Drosophila melanogaster: one gene and its partners. The gene in region 2 interacts genetically with the main gene of each other region. Each region holds a gene or a part of one and is shown on either strand. Other genes may lie near its edges.

Region 1 (5,113 bases), on a different chromosome or scaffold from region 2:
CAACCCTCGATGAATTTCGTTCGCAGTTGGCGGTCCATGCTGAAGCACAGGAGAGTGGCCAGAGCTTTCTCCGCCTCTAGAGCCAGAGACTCGCCTAGTTGGCCCTGCAAGATAAAATTAACGTTACATAGGATTCAAGGACAACGAAAATCCAACACAACTTACAATTTTATCGTCTTGAAGCAGATCCCAAAGCAGTGTGTTTCCGGGCTGGCAGACATCATTTAGCTTGAACGAGGGCTGCACCGGTGTACTCCCGGACGTAGAGCTGCCCTGGCTCGCCTTTGGTGAATGGTGCTGCTTTCCGCCGGAAACCACATCCATCAGATCGACATCTGAGTCCGATTTTGCCTTGGCCGCAGCAACCACGGCGGCAGCTGCAGCAACGCTGGCCTGCCGGTTCATTGCCACCAGCGTTTGCTGTGCAGTTCCGGTAGCCGCTGCAGCAGCGGCCACAGCAGCGGCAGCAGCAGCCACATTCGACTCTCCAGACTTCTGAAGGGCCATCGCCGACTGGGCCACCATCATGGCGGCGGCAGCGGCTGCAAAGGCTGGTGGAACGTCCGAACAATTGGCGCGGGAGCTGACCAGCTGGGCCAGCTCCTCCTCGCAAGGCGACACGTCCTCGTCATCGAAGTCAGCCAGGTTCTTTTCAGATTTGTTACTCATCGGGGATGAGTAACTGCCATCGTTCTCGGCACCACTGAGCAGCTCATTGATATTGGTCTCGATGGCCCTGATAAAAGGTCCCTCTCCCTGCAGATGCTTTAGCACGGCGTCGGGTACCAGCTGACTCGTAGCACCATCGCTGCACTCATCGCTGTCCGCTAAAAGTTCGCCCTCGCCATCACCATCGGCTTCGCCATCAGCCTCGTCACTGCTGGGCACATCTTCAACTCCGTCCCAAATCTCGACCAGCTCATGGGGCAGAATGATCTGTTTGTTGGTTTTTTGTCGCCGTCGCTTGTTGCTCGTCTTTTTGCGGCTGCGATGCAGTTGCAGCTCCAGTGCGGCCCGCGATTGCAGCTCCTCTTCACTGCTTGTGTTGTCGATAATGTTCACAATCCGTTTGTTCCTGCGTAAATTGGTAAAATAGGTGTTACTTATTACGTCAATACATTTCAGATTTTAAGAAGAACTATTTTACTTACACCAAGTCTACTTTGGCCATATCCTCGGGACTTATTTGCTTTCCCTTCTCGGTGGTGGGGTCACAGATGTGCCGCCTGTGCCGGGCCTGCTTGCATGGAGTAACTCCATCGATTGGACTCTTGTTACCAACACCTCCGCCGCCGCCACCGCTGGCAATGCTACTGTCGTCGGCGCCCACGTGGTCGTCCTCTGTGTTGCTGCCCTCAATGCTGCCGCTGTCAGAGCTGGAAGCGGTGACGTTGGACCCCAGCAGGTGGTCTTGCATCAGGTTCATCTGACTGCGTGAGGTATCACGAGTCCACAGCTGTTTTGTTAGCGCTGAGGCTATGTATATGCTCTGCTCAGTGTGCTCCTTGGGATCCATGCGGCAAAGGAGGGAGTAAAGGTGCATTGCCGGGCGCGGGGTCAGATTCTTCACCAGCGAAGGCAGGATGTCGAAGATCGTCTTTGAGCAGTGCTTCAGCTGGGTGGCTTGCCAGATCAGCTTGATGTCCTCTTCAGAGATCTGGTTCTCTACCGCCAAAAAGTTGAGCAGCACGTGTGCCTGTTTAACGATTTCTACGTGCAGATTCGGGCCAAACAGGTGCTGTACAATATGATTTTCAGTCAGCCAGTTCGCGATGCGCTGCCCGAACAGCTCCACTTCGTTGACCGTTTCGGTGGTGCAGATCTCGTTAAATAGATTAATGTGTGCGTTGATCTGGGCCATGCCTGGAAAATATTTGAAATCATTTACTCTTATTATATAATATTTATTGATAAATAAATATAATATTTCAGCATTATTCGAAATGTCCTAATTAAGTATGTCAACATCGTAGGACATACCTGCCAGTCGCATGGTTAGCGTGGTCGATGTGAAGTACTTAAAGGCCAGGGCCAATCCTTCGGTGTCGAAGTTGACAGCAACATCCAGTGGGTCTCGCATAGAGGACCACACAAAATCGGCCATCGCGCGGGTTGCGGCAGATCGGAGGCTCTGATCCGACAGCTTGCACATGTACTGCAGTATCCGACTTCGCAGCGGCACGAAGAGCTGAGTATTACAGTGATAGTTCAGCCAAAGTTTCACATTTGAGACGGCAGCGGTCATCGAGTGAGCGGTGGACACTGGCAGATCGGGATGTTCGAAGCACAGCGACATGGCGCCAAAGCCGCCCGAGTTGCAGAACAGGCTCACATTCCGCAGCAGATAGATGGGCAGGTCGTTGTCGTGAAGATCGCAGATGAGGGCCAGGTGGTGGGCCTCCTCAGCCTGCAGGTCGTCCAGCCGAGAGTGCATGCCATGTTTGTGGGCGATGTACAGCGGGAAGTTGAGCAGGAACACCTTTGAAACGAGCACCAACAGTTTCTCCACCTCGGGCAGGATCCAGGGCTCCTCTGTGTACTGCAGGTGGGATTTGTGCTGAGGATTGGCCGTTTGCGGGGGAGGGGGAGTGCAGGGGCCAACTGGCGGCTTTTTGGCTGGCCCGTCGCCGGAGCCCTGAGCCTCCTCACCGGCGGACCCAGATGGCTCCTCCTTCTTAGGTTCTTCCGCTGGCGCGGATGATTCCTTTGCCTCTGCCTGGGCTGACGCTTCGTCCCGCTGCTGTTCACGCTGCTGCTGGGCCTGGGCCACCACCTGGGCAGCACTGGCCGTTAGCCGCTTGTAGTTGTCGATGAGGTGGTCGATGTGCTTCAGATGCTGCACCGTCAGACAGATGAGCGACTGCACTACCAGGTTGAAACGGTCATAGTTCTTGGTGTCCCGGTACAGGCACATGCACTGACGCTGCGGCCACGACTGGATGTAGTTGAAGGTGGTCTCGATCTCGCTCTTCAGCAGCAGCTGGAACTTCAGATCCGAGCTGGCCACGCGCACCTCATCTGCAAAAGGAATTCGGAATACTATGTGTAAGCAGGGGGCAGGGGCTCCGGTGTTCGTCTTCATTCTATTTTTTTTTCGCAGTGCACTTTTCACTTACAGAGCTCCAGGAGATTCTGGAAGTCGGCGCACACCTCGCACATGGTGCTCCACTAGCTGCACACCGAATCGGTAGCTTCCAGGGGTTAGGGCCGCCTTGCCAGCGGCGACGACTCCTGGCCGTCTATGGAGAGTAGTCGGAGTCTGGGATACGCTGGCGGAGTCACGGTCTGAGTTGCGGGCACTTGCTCTTCTTGCTATTCGTTGGTCGCTCGGCTCGCTCCCGGCGGTCGTGCAATGCCATTTAGGATGGCGCCCTCGCCTCTCAACACGGAACACTGTTTTTCGGCAACAAAAAAATGATAATTCTACACTCGGACATATATATATGGTAGGGATATATATATATACAATTACAATCGAAGCAAGAGCCAGAGTTGGAGCGAAGAGGCAGGGGCAGGGTTGTCAGGCTGTGTGCTCTAAATGTTGTCGTCTATCGTTTATCGCTCTTTGGCGACGTTCTGGTATTTGCAAACGCACCATGTGTTTGCCCGCCAACGGTCACTCTGGCCAGCCACCGAATTTCTTGCGGGCCGCTAATATTTGTTTACATGCTAATTGTTGACTGAAAACCTTTATCACTGCAATGGAGGACAGCCAAATGGACACAAGCTCGCCGACAGAGTCCAGCTCCGAGGTGAACTTCACTGCGGAGGAGGATAAATCGCAGGAAACGCGTTCCGCAGCCGGCGTTTGTTACTGGTGAGCTCTTTGTATGGGTTTTTTGCTTGGCCGGCTCCCTTCTATTGACATTGTTTTTAGCGGCAAGGAGCGCAATCTCAATATTGTGGAGCTGCTGTGTGCCACCTGTTCACGCTGGGTGCACGAGACCTGCGTTTCCTACCAGCTTGGTAAGGGTAAACTTCTGCCCTTCATCACCAACTATGTGTTCGTCTGTAAAAATTGCTCTGCCAGCGGATTGGAGAGCTTTCGCAAGAGCCAGGCTAGTAAGTGCAAAGAAGCCCCGCACATTTATCCCTCTTGATAATAACAATATCCACTTCCAGCCATATCCCAGATGTGCCACTGTGCCATTGCCAACATGCAGCAGGCGGCTTCCAGGGACGGACGTCGCCAGATTCAGTTTAGCAAGGACAAGGAGATCATACCGTACATCGAACAGTACTGGGAGGCCATGACCACCATGCCACGCAGACTCACCCAGTCCTGGTACAGCACCGTCCAGCGATCTTTGGTCAAGGATGTGCAGACCCTGTTCACCTACGAGGAGCATGCGGAACATGGCGCCATGTACGGACTATTCCATCAGGATCTGCGAATCATCAAGCCCAACTACGAGAGCATGAGCAAGAGCGGCGCCCTGCGACTCACCGACGATGGATATACTCAAGGTGAGTGTAAATAAGATGATAGACATTTAAATCGATTTGAAGTCTATAATTTGAATGCTAAAAACTTGACCCCATGTGTTATCGAACGCTCAGTGGTAGAAAGCTAAATGAATTATCTTTTGGCGGCCAAATTGGCAACACTGTTCGACCAGCTGATTTTGGCACAGTGGTTTTTGTGTCGCCTATTCCGCTGCCTATTCGCTCCCCCTATTTATCGCCGCTTCCTTTCGCACGCTCTTTCGCAAGTGTTTGCCAGAGTAAAGTAACAACAACAACTAACAAAATCGCAATGCGGATCGTAGTTTCAGATTTGCACACACACAGAGAAAGAGAGAGAGAGAGAGAGAGCCCCACGTAGTCAGATTGTGGGCGGGGCGAAGTGGGGTGGGGTGGGGCTGGCAGAGGCGCGCTCAACTTGGCTCATTCATTACAAACAAATAGTTACGCTTGGAACACTTCGCCAGTGTCTCAGTGTGCGTGTGTGTGGTGCTCTTTCGGGGGAATTGATTGCGATTTGATTTTGAGCACTACGCAATTGCAAGGCCCCCGCTCCTTCAGTTCCATTGTGACCGGGTCCTGCTTCTGCTCCTGCTCATTCTCCCTCCGCGATGGCGTCATCTTTTACGGACGAGGAGTGTAAGCCCGG
Region 2 (5,641 bases):
TCTGCCACACAGGCAAGTGCCCAAATCCCGAGTTGTGCCGCAAGAAGGTTCGCATTTTCTGCGCCTGCAAGCGACTCAAGCAGGAGATTGCCTGTGACAAACACCGTGCTGGTCAGACATTCTTGGATTGCGACTCGAACTGCAAGGCGGAGCAAATTCGCGTCCAGGCGGCAGAGCAACTGCAGCTGGAACAAAAGCGTCGCGACGAGGAAGAAAGAAACCGCCTGGAACTCGAGAAGTTCGAGGCCAAGTTCGGCAAACGCAAGCACAAGGAGCGCAAAACTGTGGGTTCTGGACCGGCCAAGACCAAGATCGATTGGCAACGTAGAGCAATCTATGCAGTATCCATTCTAACAGTTGTGGGTGCAATTGTGGTGGCTTTCTACGCGGACAGTTAAACGAGTAACAACAACCGATTCAAACAAGAATTTGTAATATCAATTTAAACAGATAAGCAAATAGAATTAAAACAATGACTGATAAGCATTTCCAGCCAGCGCAGTGTTTGTCTATGTTGAGCTTTTCTAATCAGGCTGGCCAATTACTCCGCCTTGGCCTTCTTCTTGTAGACGCAAGCGGCGGTGAAAACGGAGGCGCTAAGGAACGTCGAAATCAGGAAGTTTGATAGCAACATCCAATCGTGGGACTGGAAGAACACCGTGTAGATTCGAGCTGTAAGGGATACATATATGATGTGTTAATTGATGACATCAAGTGATGGAATGCAAGATGTGATCTCACTCATGTTTGTAAAGGCGGAGAGCGCCCATGTGGTTCTACTGACGGAACTGGCATCCTTGGTCCTCAGAATAGCCAGCAGCTGGAGGACCTTACTCGTGGCTCCAATGGGAGTGCAGAAAGGCTGACGGGAAATCAAACATTTAGATGAATTTCACGAGATTTATATATATTGCCCGAGCACTGAAAGTATTAATAGCCGCTCAAATATTATACAACAAACATCGGTGACCTTGAGCGAAGATGCTGCCCAGTTAAGAGCACCGCCTTTTCAAACTAAAACAAATAACAAATCAAACCAAACCCGTTTGCCCGGAAACATAATTAGTTAATTGGAAAAGAGAGCGGGGAACGGGTTTGAACTGCGCCGAAGTCGTTATCTGGGCAAGAATACCCGACTAATCAGTCACTAGGTGATATCAATACAGGCTTACTCACCACCAGGAACTTAAGGATGATAATGGGAAAGAGCTTCATGTATATGAGAGTGGCCACTATACTATACAGTATGGCCACCACTTGCGTCCTCCTTCCCAGCAGATCCTGGTACTTGAAGGCGTAGTAAATCAGGGCGTACTCCTGCAGCAGCAAAACAGGATACTCCATGTACGAGAGGAAGTCGTAGCCACTGGTGTAGTTGTACGACAACATCACCGTATAACTGAACAGCTCCAGGCACAGTCCCAAAACACTGATGCCTAATTCATAAATCCGTATCATATGAGTGGGAGGATAGGTTGCAGATGTTGTGTGGGCGGTGCTCACCTTTCGAGGACTCGTTCGCCCGTATCGTGTTTATCTGCGGAACCTTGATCACCAGGCAGGACGAGACCGTTATCAGGCTAAGGAGGTCCGCCACCACGAGCACTGGGCCGCGCTCCAGGTATTCGGACACCACATCTCCGAGAGCTCCACTCATAGCGACCGTCGAAATTCGAAATTTGCAGCTTCTGAGTGTGACCTTAACATTGTGTGGACGGAAATGCTAGTGTTACCACACTCTATCACTAGTAAACAAATTAACGATATTTGCTGTAATGGTTTCTAATTATTTTATAACATAGCAATAAATAACAAACTCATGTCATTTTTAGGGTTTTCAAGAAATTTCTATAAGTTATAAAATATAAGTATAAAAATTAAAAACTATGAAAATAGAAACAAGTTTTTTAAACATATAATAATTTTAGTAATTAAGCAATCAAAAATATAATATAAAATATAAGCAATCAAAAAAGAAAAGTAGAATTGCTGAGCAATTAAATTGTGTAAGAAACACGTTTATTATTACAACACATAAATAATTCATGAAATCCATACATATAAACAACTTGCAGAGTATCACATTTTTTAAAACCAAGCTCGAGTCACGCGGAGACCATCACATCCCTAACTTAAGCCGTGAATTCCCATGGTATATTTGAACGGTCGAGCGGTGGTCACACTGGATCCGCATTAGTTTTTTTTCGGGTCCAAAATCTGTCCAAATCCGCAAATTGCACGCATATTCTAGTATCTGAAAACCAGAAATTTAGATAGACTGGGTACAGAGTCATCTGAAAAACGCAAAAATTAGGCAATCTCCGAGGAGCAACGTCCTTAAAACGTATGTGAAAAATTCGATTGAACGTGTGTGTGCTGTGTTGCGCCTGTATGTGTGAGAGTGGGCCCCAAACGCAAAAAGTTTTACACGCGTTAAATGTGCAGTTGAAAACCTGAAAACAAATTGTGCCCGCTAAAGTGGGGTGTGTTTTTTTAGTGCCCCCTCCACGTTGGCTGCCCTTAAAGTTTATAAACAATGTGCAAGGCACCACGCGAACTCAAACTTTAGCTGCGAGCGAGCGAGCGAGTGGGTTCGTCTGTGTGCGTGACTCTGCCTGTGTGTACAACAATGTCCACATTTTTCTTTTGTTGTTTGCTCCACGAATTATGGGGCTATCCCCTCCGTGTTCCAACCGCTGCATTTGCAGGTGCAGAAAAGTGGGGTTAGGATGGTCAAAGAGTCCGTAAGGAACGCTCAGCGTGCTGCAATCGCTGCTCTGAATTTGCAACGAAAGTAATCTATTTTTGGGGGATTTGGGACCACAGGTCTCTGCCCATTATCCGCGTTGGTGTGCGTCTGTGTGTATGCAGCGATTATGACGACTCCACACCCGTGGCTAAATCCACAGAGAGAAAATGTTCTCGAGCGCATCCCCGATGTTCGACCAAAGTGTCCTGTGTGGCACAGGTAAAAACGCGTATCGAAATGCGGTGTGAAAGCGGAGACCCTAAAAACATATTTTACGTTTTTTCGGGAGGTCAACAGCCAAAGGCCACGAGCCAGGGGTGGGGAAGGAGGAGGAGGAGGAGAAGCAGTAGAAGGAGGGTGGGAAGAGAATGAATACGAATATGGGAAAATGTTCGGGAGAAATGCCTGCACATCTGATCTGTTTCGGCAGTGATGCAACAGCAGGAGCGCTGAAAATTCCTTTGTGATCTCGCCCCTTTTGTTCTGCGGATGCTGCGCTGCAATGGCTGATCTTTGCTTCTTCTCCTTCTCCTTGGTTTTCTTGTCCCCTCCCCTGGATCTTCCAATCTCTGCCTACGGCGATCCCTTTTTCTACTCTCTCGGGTGCGTGTGTGTGTCTGTGCGCTGGTAGGATGTGATGGCCAGTCAAGCTGCTGTCAAACATCAGAGATGCGCAGCTGCGATTTTTCAGTCACGGTGAATGGAAGCTGGCTAGGATCAATGAATTTCTAGAGAATAGGGACTACTATCATACAATTTACAAACATCTTAGCCCTAATAATTAATGATTTCTTTCCGTTCTCCAGGAAAAGAAAGTCAGTTTGCACAAATAATTTGTTTTACAGAATGACTAATATCTTGTTATTTGGAATTTCGGTTTCGACTAAATGTTTGCGATTTTATATAGCCCATGTAAAAAACTCACGTTTTAATGTAACTTTTTAAAATGGATGACTAATACGTATGTATTTTGGAAAGTCAACAACTCTGTGACTCAGCATATTGGCAGAAGTAATCTTAGCTTGGGCTTGGCTCAGCTCTAGTCAGCAAGAAATGTTTCGTGACTATAGATTTCACAGTTCTATTAGTAACAACCAACGCAGTTTATTAAAACGATTTACTAATGTACATTTTAACTTTAGTTGGGTGTCGAAACTATTTGAATATGGTCATACACTTCTTTAGTATAAAAATTATTTGGAAGGCTTTTCCTATTAGTTCGGTGACTGTTTCCCGATCACCAGTGACTTTCCCGCGTTGATCATCTCTGAAAGTCAGTAAAAAGCGGAGGGAAAAGATAGCGGCTTGAATTGCAAGGTGTACGTGGTGTTGTTGTTATTGTTGTTCTTGTTTGGTGCTGCGGCTGCTGTGTATCTTTGGTGCTTCTTCTTCTCACGTCCGTTACTTCTCGCTCTTCACTCTCTTTACAATACCTTTTGCTGTTGTCTCTCTTTTTAGGGTATGTGTGTGTGTCTGTTTGTGGTGTTTTTGTTGTAATACCCGTTTCGTCTTCTTTTGCCCATTCTACTTCGCGCCGTTTTAGCCTCTTCCTCGATGCACTTTTGTGATTTCCTTTTTCGAGTTCCAACGACGCCGGCAGAGGCAGCGTCGTTACAACAAATTTTTCCCACTGCTTTTCATTCCCTTGGATTTAATTTTTTTTTGCAACCATCAGTTTGCGCTTGTTGCGTGGGAATTTCGGATCATCTTGGATTCTCAGGGCACAAAAGGATCGTTCATTGTAAGCGGTGTAAAATTTGTCATACCTTGGGTTTGAAATTTTCATAGCGTCTATTTTCAACACTATTATTCACTTTTCCATAAGTGCTTCCTCGTGTTACCAGCTTCCAACCATTCGATAACCAATCTTTAACATTTGCAGGAGAACGCATTACCCACTTTTGAATGCCTGTAAAGTATTATGGAAAGAGGATGCCCAGCTGCTAGCAGTGAATCCGTGACCAGTGCAGGGGAGCGTACTCAGTCAGCAGTCACCAGCTCCACCTCCACGTGGGTCAAGAGTCAGGCCTCAACCAGCCGAAAAACAGAAGCATCAGAAGAATCGGGATTAGGAGCAGTAGACGCAGAAGTAGGAGCCGGCAGAGAAGCCTTTGTATCTATGTCAACGCTGCGGGAGGATGTGGAGGACGTGTGTGTGTCGTCAAACTCACAACATGGTTTCGCCGTAGTTTTGGACGACGAGTCCAGCACATTTGAGATTAGCTCTTCCAACTCACTGCCCACCAGTGCGGGGGCGGCGTCCACAGTGGGAGTGGTGGCCGTCGACGACAGCTCCTCCACGGATACCTTGAACGGTGGTCATCCTGACTTAGGTCACCCCGCCTCATCGGAACACAGTCGTCAGGGCTTTTTTAATGAGGATAATGAAGATCCTCCGGTTGTATGCCTTATAAACGACGATGACGATGATGAGGAACCCGAGCCGGAGGAGGACGATGAGGAGGAACTGATTGAAGACGAGGACGAGGACGCAGTGGACATTGTAACGGGCGCCATCAGCTGCCCCAACACATCACAGTTGGCTTTAGCCGACGGCACCATCATGGCGGCCGATGGATCTAAGATCTTCCTGGAGACGCCCGTCGTGGAGGAGGCCCAGCCGCATCCCGGTCAGGTAGTCACAACGGGATCCCAGTCGGAGCTCACAGGCAAGCCAAAAAGATTGAGCGATGAGTTCTTGCTGGGTGAGGAAGACCAAGCAGAGAACCTGGCTTTGGGAAGATGTATTAAGTCTGAGCCGGTTAATCCCGTGGACGACAATCCATCTGAAGGCGACGATGGGGCTACTTGCTTCTCACTACATGACCGTCTTATGTCAGTGCGCCTGAAGCAGATGAGCCTCACGGCCAACACCGTTTCGAATCCCTCGCC
Region 3 (5,101 bases), on a different chromosome or scaffold from region 2:
TAACGTCTGTTTCGGATTCCGAGAATAGCCGGCAGTCACACGTTCCACTGATAAAAAGTGGCTAAGTTGCCTTGGCACCAATTTTCGTGGTGGTGGTCTTTTGGAATATTTCGCCAGGGGATTGACAAAACACCGATGATTTGGCAATTAGCGACTCTGCAGAGTTAGTTGTCTTCGCTGGATGAGTAAGTCCCATTTAAACCCTGGGTATCGACTCGTCTACATTGGCGACGTGTTTTAATCGGCAACCAAGCAGGCAAATCGATCGTACACACTTGTAGGACGACAGAGCACTGACCTCACACACACGACTGACACTATCTTTATGCCAATACGAGTATATTGCGGGAAATTCTAAGAAAAGACGGATGGCCCTCCCGCGGGACTGCGGAAAAACTGTAGTCTGCCAAGAAAATCTCTTGAGTAGCCGCATGCAAGAACATAACTCGTGGCTCTTAATATTTTCTTTATTATCGATATAGTGGGCGAACTTGTATAATCCACGGGTGACGCCCATTTCAGCACGTATGTACATTTATTTCCTGGCATTTTGTTCAAAATTTGCCAACGCTGCTTTATTGATCCGCTGGGATGAAAAAAGACCTGAACACGTCAGGTGGTTCACTTGGGAAAATCTGCCCGGTAACAACGCGAAAATATCAAACTTTTTTGTTAACAAACCCTAAGTACCGCCTGTCAACGGAGGAGTCGCAATCATCAAAAGTCCATCATATCAGCCGACAAAGTCACAGTACAATATGATCTATTGTCAGTCTGCCGCCTGTCTAATAATGGCTTAAGTATCTATTAAAAACAGTATTCCCGTTTTCTTTTACTGTAAGTAAATAAATTGAATAAATCGAAGCAAACTACTTAGTTGTTGAACATAATCTTCTATTATGACATATTTAAATATGAGATAGGACCCCACTAATCGATCGATTGTAAACAGAGGAAATCTTAACATAAACAAATGCTAAACTTGACTTTGCACTCGAAAGAATTTCTATTATTAAAAGAGTATTCTGAACGCCCAGATAAAACGTTGATTAGGAAACTCTGTGAAAGTGAAGAAACAATGCATTCAAATAAATCAAAAATAAATAAAACAGAAACCAGTTTAGATAAGAGGGCTTTTCATTGTCAATCAACCAACTGATGGATGGAAACCAAAGTTTGAAGCGAAACTCGAATGGCTGCTCAAATAATTATTATATAGTATTATATTACTTCGCCAGCAAAGTGAATACTAATATAGGCGTAGACCCGTGGATTTCTATATATATTATATATGCATTAATAAACACAAATCCGATAGTTGCTAGCTCGTGGCCCATAGAAAGCGGCGGAGAGTGACTTTGAATTGCATGCTAATGGCCTGCTTAAATGGTGGGATATTCGCCGGGGGGGTGGGGTTTTGGTTTGGGAGGTATGCACATACATATATATATTTTCGATCGGCCCCATTGTCTGTTCATTAGAACAGAGGCAAGTACGGCATGTTAAATATTCTGCCTGCGCCAGCAGAATTGCCTTGTTATTGCCGCTGGTGCTGCTGCTGTTGTTGTTGCTAAGTATTTCCGCTCCAAAGCAGCTCAAAACACTGAACAAAATTAAGCTATAATATTGAAAGCACACCTTAATATGTGTACTACCCTTCCGTATGATGATTATAATGATGTAGTATGCTGATCTTAAGATACCATTTTCCGCACTTTGTGTATGAAATGAGTTTGAATATGCAAACACCACGATCGCCGCACGTGGCCATCTAAGTCCTGCTGGCTTATCCGACAACACCTTAGGATACTGACCCGCTGTTGTTTGAGTTTGAATTGCGAGCATTGCGAAATGTTGGCCAAGCTACCTCCAAGTGCGCCGTATCTCCGGGCGAGATATCAGCGAAAACACATAAAATACGACTCGAAGTGCTAATGCCAAGTTCATGGGACAGTAAATCGAGGCGCAACAGCGGGTCAGGGATGTTTGGTCTCTTCTTGGGAGCACCATATTGTGGGTGGAGTTCTTCGGGCAGCGCCGTCCTGCAATTGCGTCAGTTTGGTTTCGGCTCATTAGCATGGAGATGGGCCAGCCGAATTTGGCTTAAACGTGTGCAAAACGTAAATAAACCAAATCCGACTACCATTACGAAAACATTTGCTTGCTGCGCACGTTGCATGCAAAGTTTTCAAGGAGGTGAAGTCCAGGGAAAGGGGCTGTAATCTGCGTCAATCGCCAGATAATCGTATACATCAACCAGATGGATTGTGAAACCTTCAGCAGACCCCTAACGATAACTCCTTGGGAAATACCCCACATAAAATCATCGGCGGCAGATAACAATTACACAACAGCACAACTGACAAGCAATTTACTATTTCCACGCAACAATCGAAGTGAGAGAAAAAGTCTTTTCCAGCCCACAATCTTATAAACGGTACCTCTCTTGGGAATAACCCACCGAACCTTGACTCATACGACACCTCTCTCGCGCCATAGTTCCGTCCCCCTCGCCCTATCTTTTGCTGCGTATCTAAATATTATTATAAAAGCGATTCACAAATAAGCATAGATAAGTGCAGCGCCGTTTGCTTTCGGCTCGGGTTTTACAATGGAACACGGCCAATTTTCTAGGAGCTCAGCTCGTTCAGGTGCCTCCAGGAAAATGTAAATCGCTAGCGGCATTCGGCCACCGATTCTAACTGGTTTTTGTTTTGTTTACTTGAATGAGCTAGAGCTCTCCACAGTTATGTAACAACAATTATTAAGCAAAATTGTGTAAATATTCGTACTTGAATACTATTTGATAATGAGATTAAGGAATACCCTTCGTGAAAAACGCAAAATCACAGAATTACCCAAAACAACAAATTGACCAACCACTTTGGTCGTCACTCACATGAAATCCTCGATGTCGACAAACTGGGAGAACTGGCAAGGTTGAGTGTTCGTGGGCGCGTAGCCATAGCAGTAGGCGTAGCTCCAGGGGCGGCTTTCGCGACAGGGCGTGGCCACGTTCAGAAGCGATCCCCTCTGGCGATAGAAGGCGTCCTGGGGCTGCTGCTGATGGTACGGATGGTACCTTTGCATCCCAGTGGAGGACATATTGGGGCCGAGCATAGCGCCCACGAAGGGTTGGCTTCCGGGAGCAGGGCCATTGTAGAATGACCCGTTGCCAAAGTTCACAGTGGGTTCATTGATGGGCATTGGCCCAAAAGCTGGGCCATTTCTGCTCAGCTGCCGCTGCCGCTGCGGCTTGGAATCGCACTCGTAGAAACTAGAACCGGGGATCACATCTTCGCCGTAGAACGAAATGTCGCCGGTACACGAAAAATCGCAGCTCTCGAAGGAATTAAACATTGAGTGCGCTGGAATCCGGCTAAGCCCATCGATGATGAACACACACACGCGTGCGATAAGAGCTGATAGTGTTTTGATTTGGCCACAACTTCACTGCTCCGGATATTTTGGTAGAACACGACGTACGGGAGTTCGAGCGCTAAATGAGCGAAAGGTTCCATAGCCTCGAAGCCATCATATTTATACCTGGGCAGCCGCACCAAAAAAAATCGCAAAAGAGCGGAGAGCCGACGTGAACGTCATATTCCGTGTGCTATCAGACAAGTTTGCCTATCCGGACAAGTGCGCTCCGGCCGGAGTGATAAGATAAAGTCCGGTCCGCCCGCCTCGTAGAAGCATTCAGGTGGCAGGGAGCCAGCGCTTCGGTTCTGCCCAATGGGACGATAACAGCGAATCGAGTGAGTGGCGGATTCAAATTAGAGCCATATAAATTATGTCAGTGCGCCCCACTTCAGTCGATAATTGGCTCGGACCATATAGTCTACTTTGCAGCGACGCCGGAAAATTTCCGCACGTCCAGGACCCATTTTCCGCCCATTTCCCTCGCTCACAAAGTGCAGTGCACGGCAAAGTCATGTTATAATTTTAGAATCTCTGCACCGAGAAAACAGTGCCACTCACTTCGAAGTGAAAATTTGATATAATATTCCAAAATTTTGAGTATTTAACCGCAGAACTGATGAACCATTTTTAGGTATTTCGAAAACTAACCAAAATTCGCACACACAAAATGAGAAGAAATATTAGAGAATTGATCTTTTTCACTGTGCGAGAAAAGCTGCTTGGATGACTAAATACTATCAGACTTATCCATGATTTCCCTAGTCGGCCGATAAGAACTATAACATAGGAGTTAAATATTTGGATTAGTTTGGCAAACAGCACGGAAAGTGAAACGAGATAAGGGAAGCTAGTTCCCCAGACCAAGCAAACGTAATCAAATCGCAATGTAATCAGCTCGTGGAGAAGGCAAAGGAACAGGCAGGGTCAACTTAAATCACTACGATAACCCCTTGTTTACCTGTTTATGCTACACCCGTCTATCACTAAACTATTTCGATGTTTAAATGTATTTCATATAAAAAAACAGTAAAAGTAGTTATTAACATTGTGAGCTTCTTGGGCTTCTCTTTTTGCAGATTGCCAGGAGTCCTTGTGATCGTTAGCTATGGTCTCATCTTGCATCATTCAAGGACTATCTTATAGAAGGTCTGTCAATCCTTTAGGTTGCTACAGTAACACCCGACGACGACCAATTAATTCGAAAGATGTCGTAAGAAGTTCATTGAGTTGTGGCAAGACCAGTGGTTAATACTTAATCCAAAGGAATAGCTGTTTACAACAGAACATCGTAAAGATCTTATCCATTCCCAAGAAAGAAGTTCCTTTGTTCTTGTTAATGTTGTTAGCAAAAAAATGACTTCCAAACAGGTTTCGCAATAATCTTAATCCGAAATTTTTGCTCATTTCACAAAACCTGTGGGGAATTTTCAGCGACTGATTCCAATTTATCGCCTTAAATATAAATTTAAACTTTCCCTGCCAGCAATTGCCGAATCATAACTTACACCGAATGCGATGCATATAGACCTCACACGCAACTGAACAAACGAAAAAGATTCGGAAGCTGCGCTACCTTCACGCTGTCTCCCTCACTCCGCTTATATACGTCTCTCTCGCTGCATCAAGTTCAATTTCATACAGAGAAAGAAAATTAATAGACAAATATATTGAATATGGT

What was found. Genes that interact genetically often act in the same process or in processes that back each other up.
Region 1: of ago (region 2) and puf, changing one enhances a phenotype caused by changing the other (phenotypic enhancement), as found in Drosophila melanogaster (one study listed by BioGRID).
Region 3: of ago (region 2) and sima, changing one suppresses a phenotype caused by changing the other (phenotypic suppression), as found in Drosophila melanogaster (one study listed by BioGRID).

Annotation. Positions count from the first base shown.
Region 1 is NT_033777.3:24,646,528-24,651,640, forward strand, and holds the start of puf (puffyeye), read right to left. Parts: upstream 3,517-5,113; 5' UTR 3,160-3,516; coding exon 3,117-3,159; intron 3,019-3,116; coding exon 1,981-3,018; intron 1,864-1,980; coding exon 1,152-1,863; intron 1,076-1,151; coding exon 166-1,075; intron 105-165; coding exon 1-104. Other genes in the region: ash2 (absent, small, or homeotic discs 2), read left to right, coding at 3,702-3,817, 3,878-4,062, 4,123-4,467. UniProt on the Drosophila melanogaster protein: Ubiquitin hydrolase that can remove conjugated ubiquitin from target proteins and polyubiquitin chains. Essential for Myc-mediated cell growth and proliferation in developing eyes and wings.
Region 2 is NT_037436.4:4,250,831-4,256,471, reverse strand, and holds the start of ago (archipelago), read left to right. Parts: upstream 1-2,165; 5' UTR 2,166-2,344; intron 2,345-2,419; exon of another isoform or gene 2,420-2,483; intron 2,484-3,394; exon of another isoform or gene 3,395-3,445; intron 3,446-4,420; exon of another isoform or gene 4,421-4,490; intron 4,491-4,631; 5' UTR 4,632-4,670; coding exon 4,671-5,641. Other genes in the region: CG15011 (uncharacterized protein), read left to right, coding at 1-398; CG1265 (uncharacterized protein), read right to left, coding at 542-672, 742-862, 1,177-1,436, 1,504-1,657. UniProt on the Drosophila melanogaster protein: Substrate recognition component of a SCF (SKP1-CUL1-F-box protein) E3 ubiquitin-protein ligase complex which mediates the ubiquitination and subsequent proteasomal degradation of target proteins. Probably recognizes and binds to phosphorylated target proteins.
Region 3 is NT_033777.3:30,061,337-30,066,437, reverse strand, and holds the start of sima (uncharacterized protein), read right to left. Parts: upstream 3,517-5,101; 5' UTR 3,361-3,516; coding exon 2,900-3,360; intron 1-2,899. UniProt on the Drosophila melanogaster protein: Functions as a transcriptional regulator of the adaptive response to hypoxia. Binds to core DNA sequence 5'-[AG]CGTG-3' within the hypoxia response element (HRE) of target gene promoters.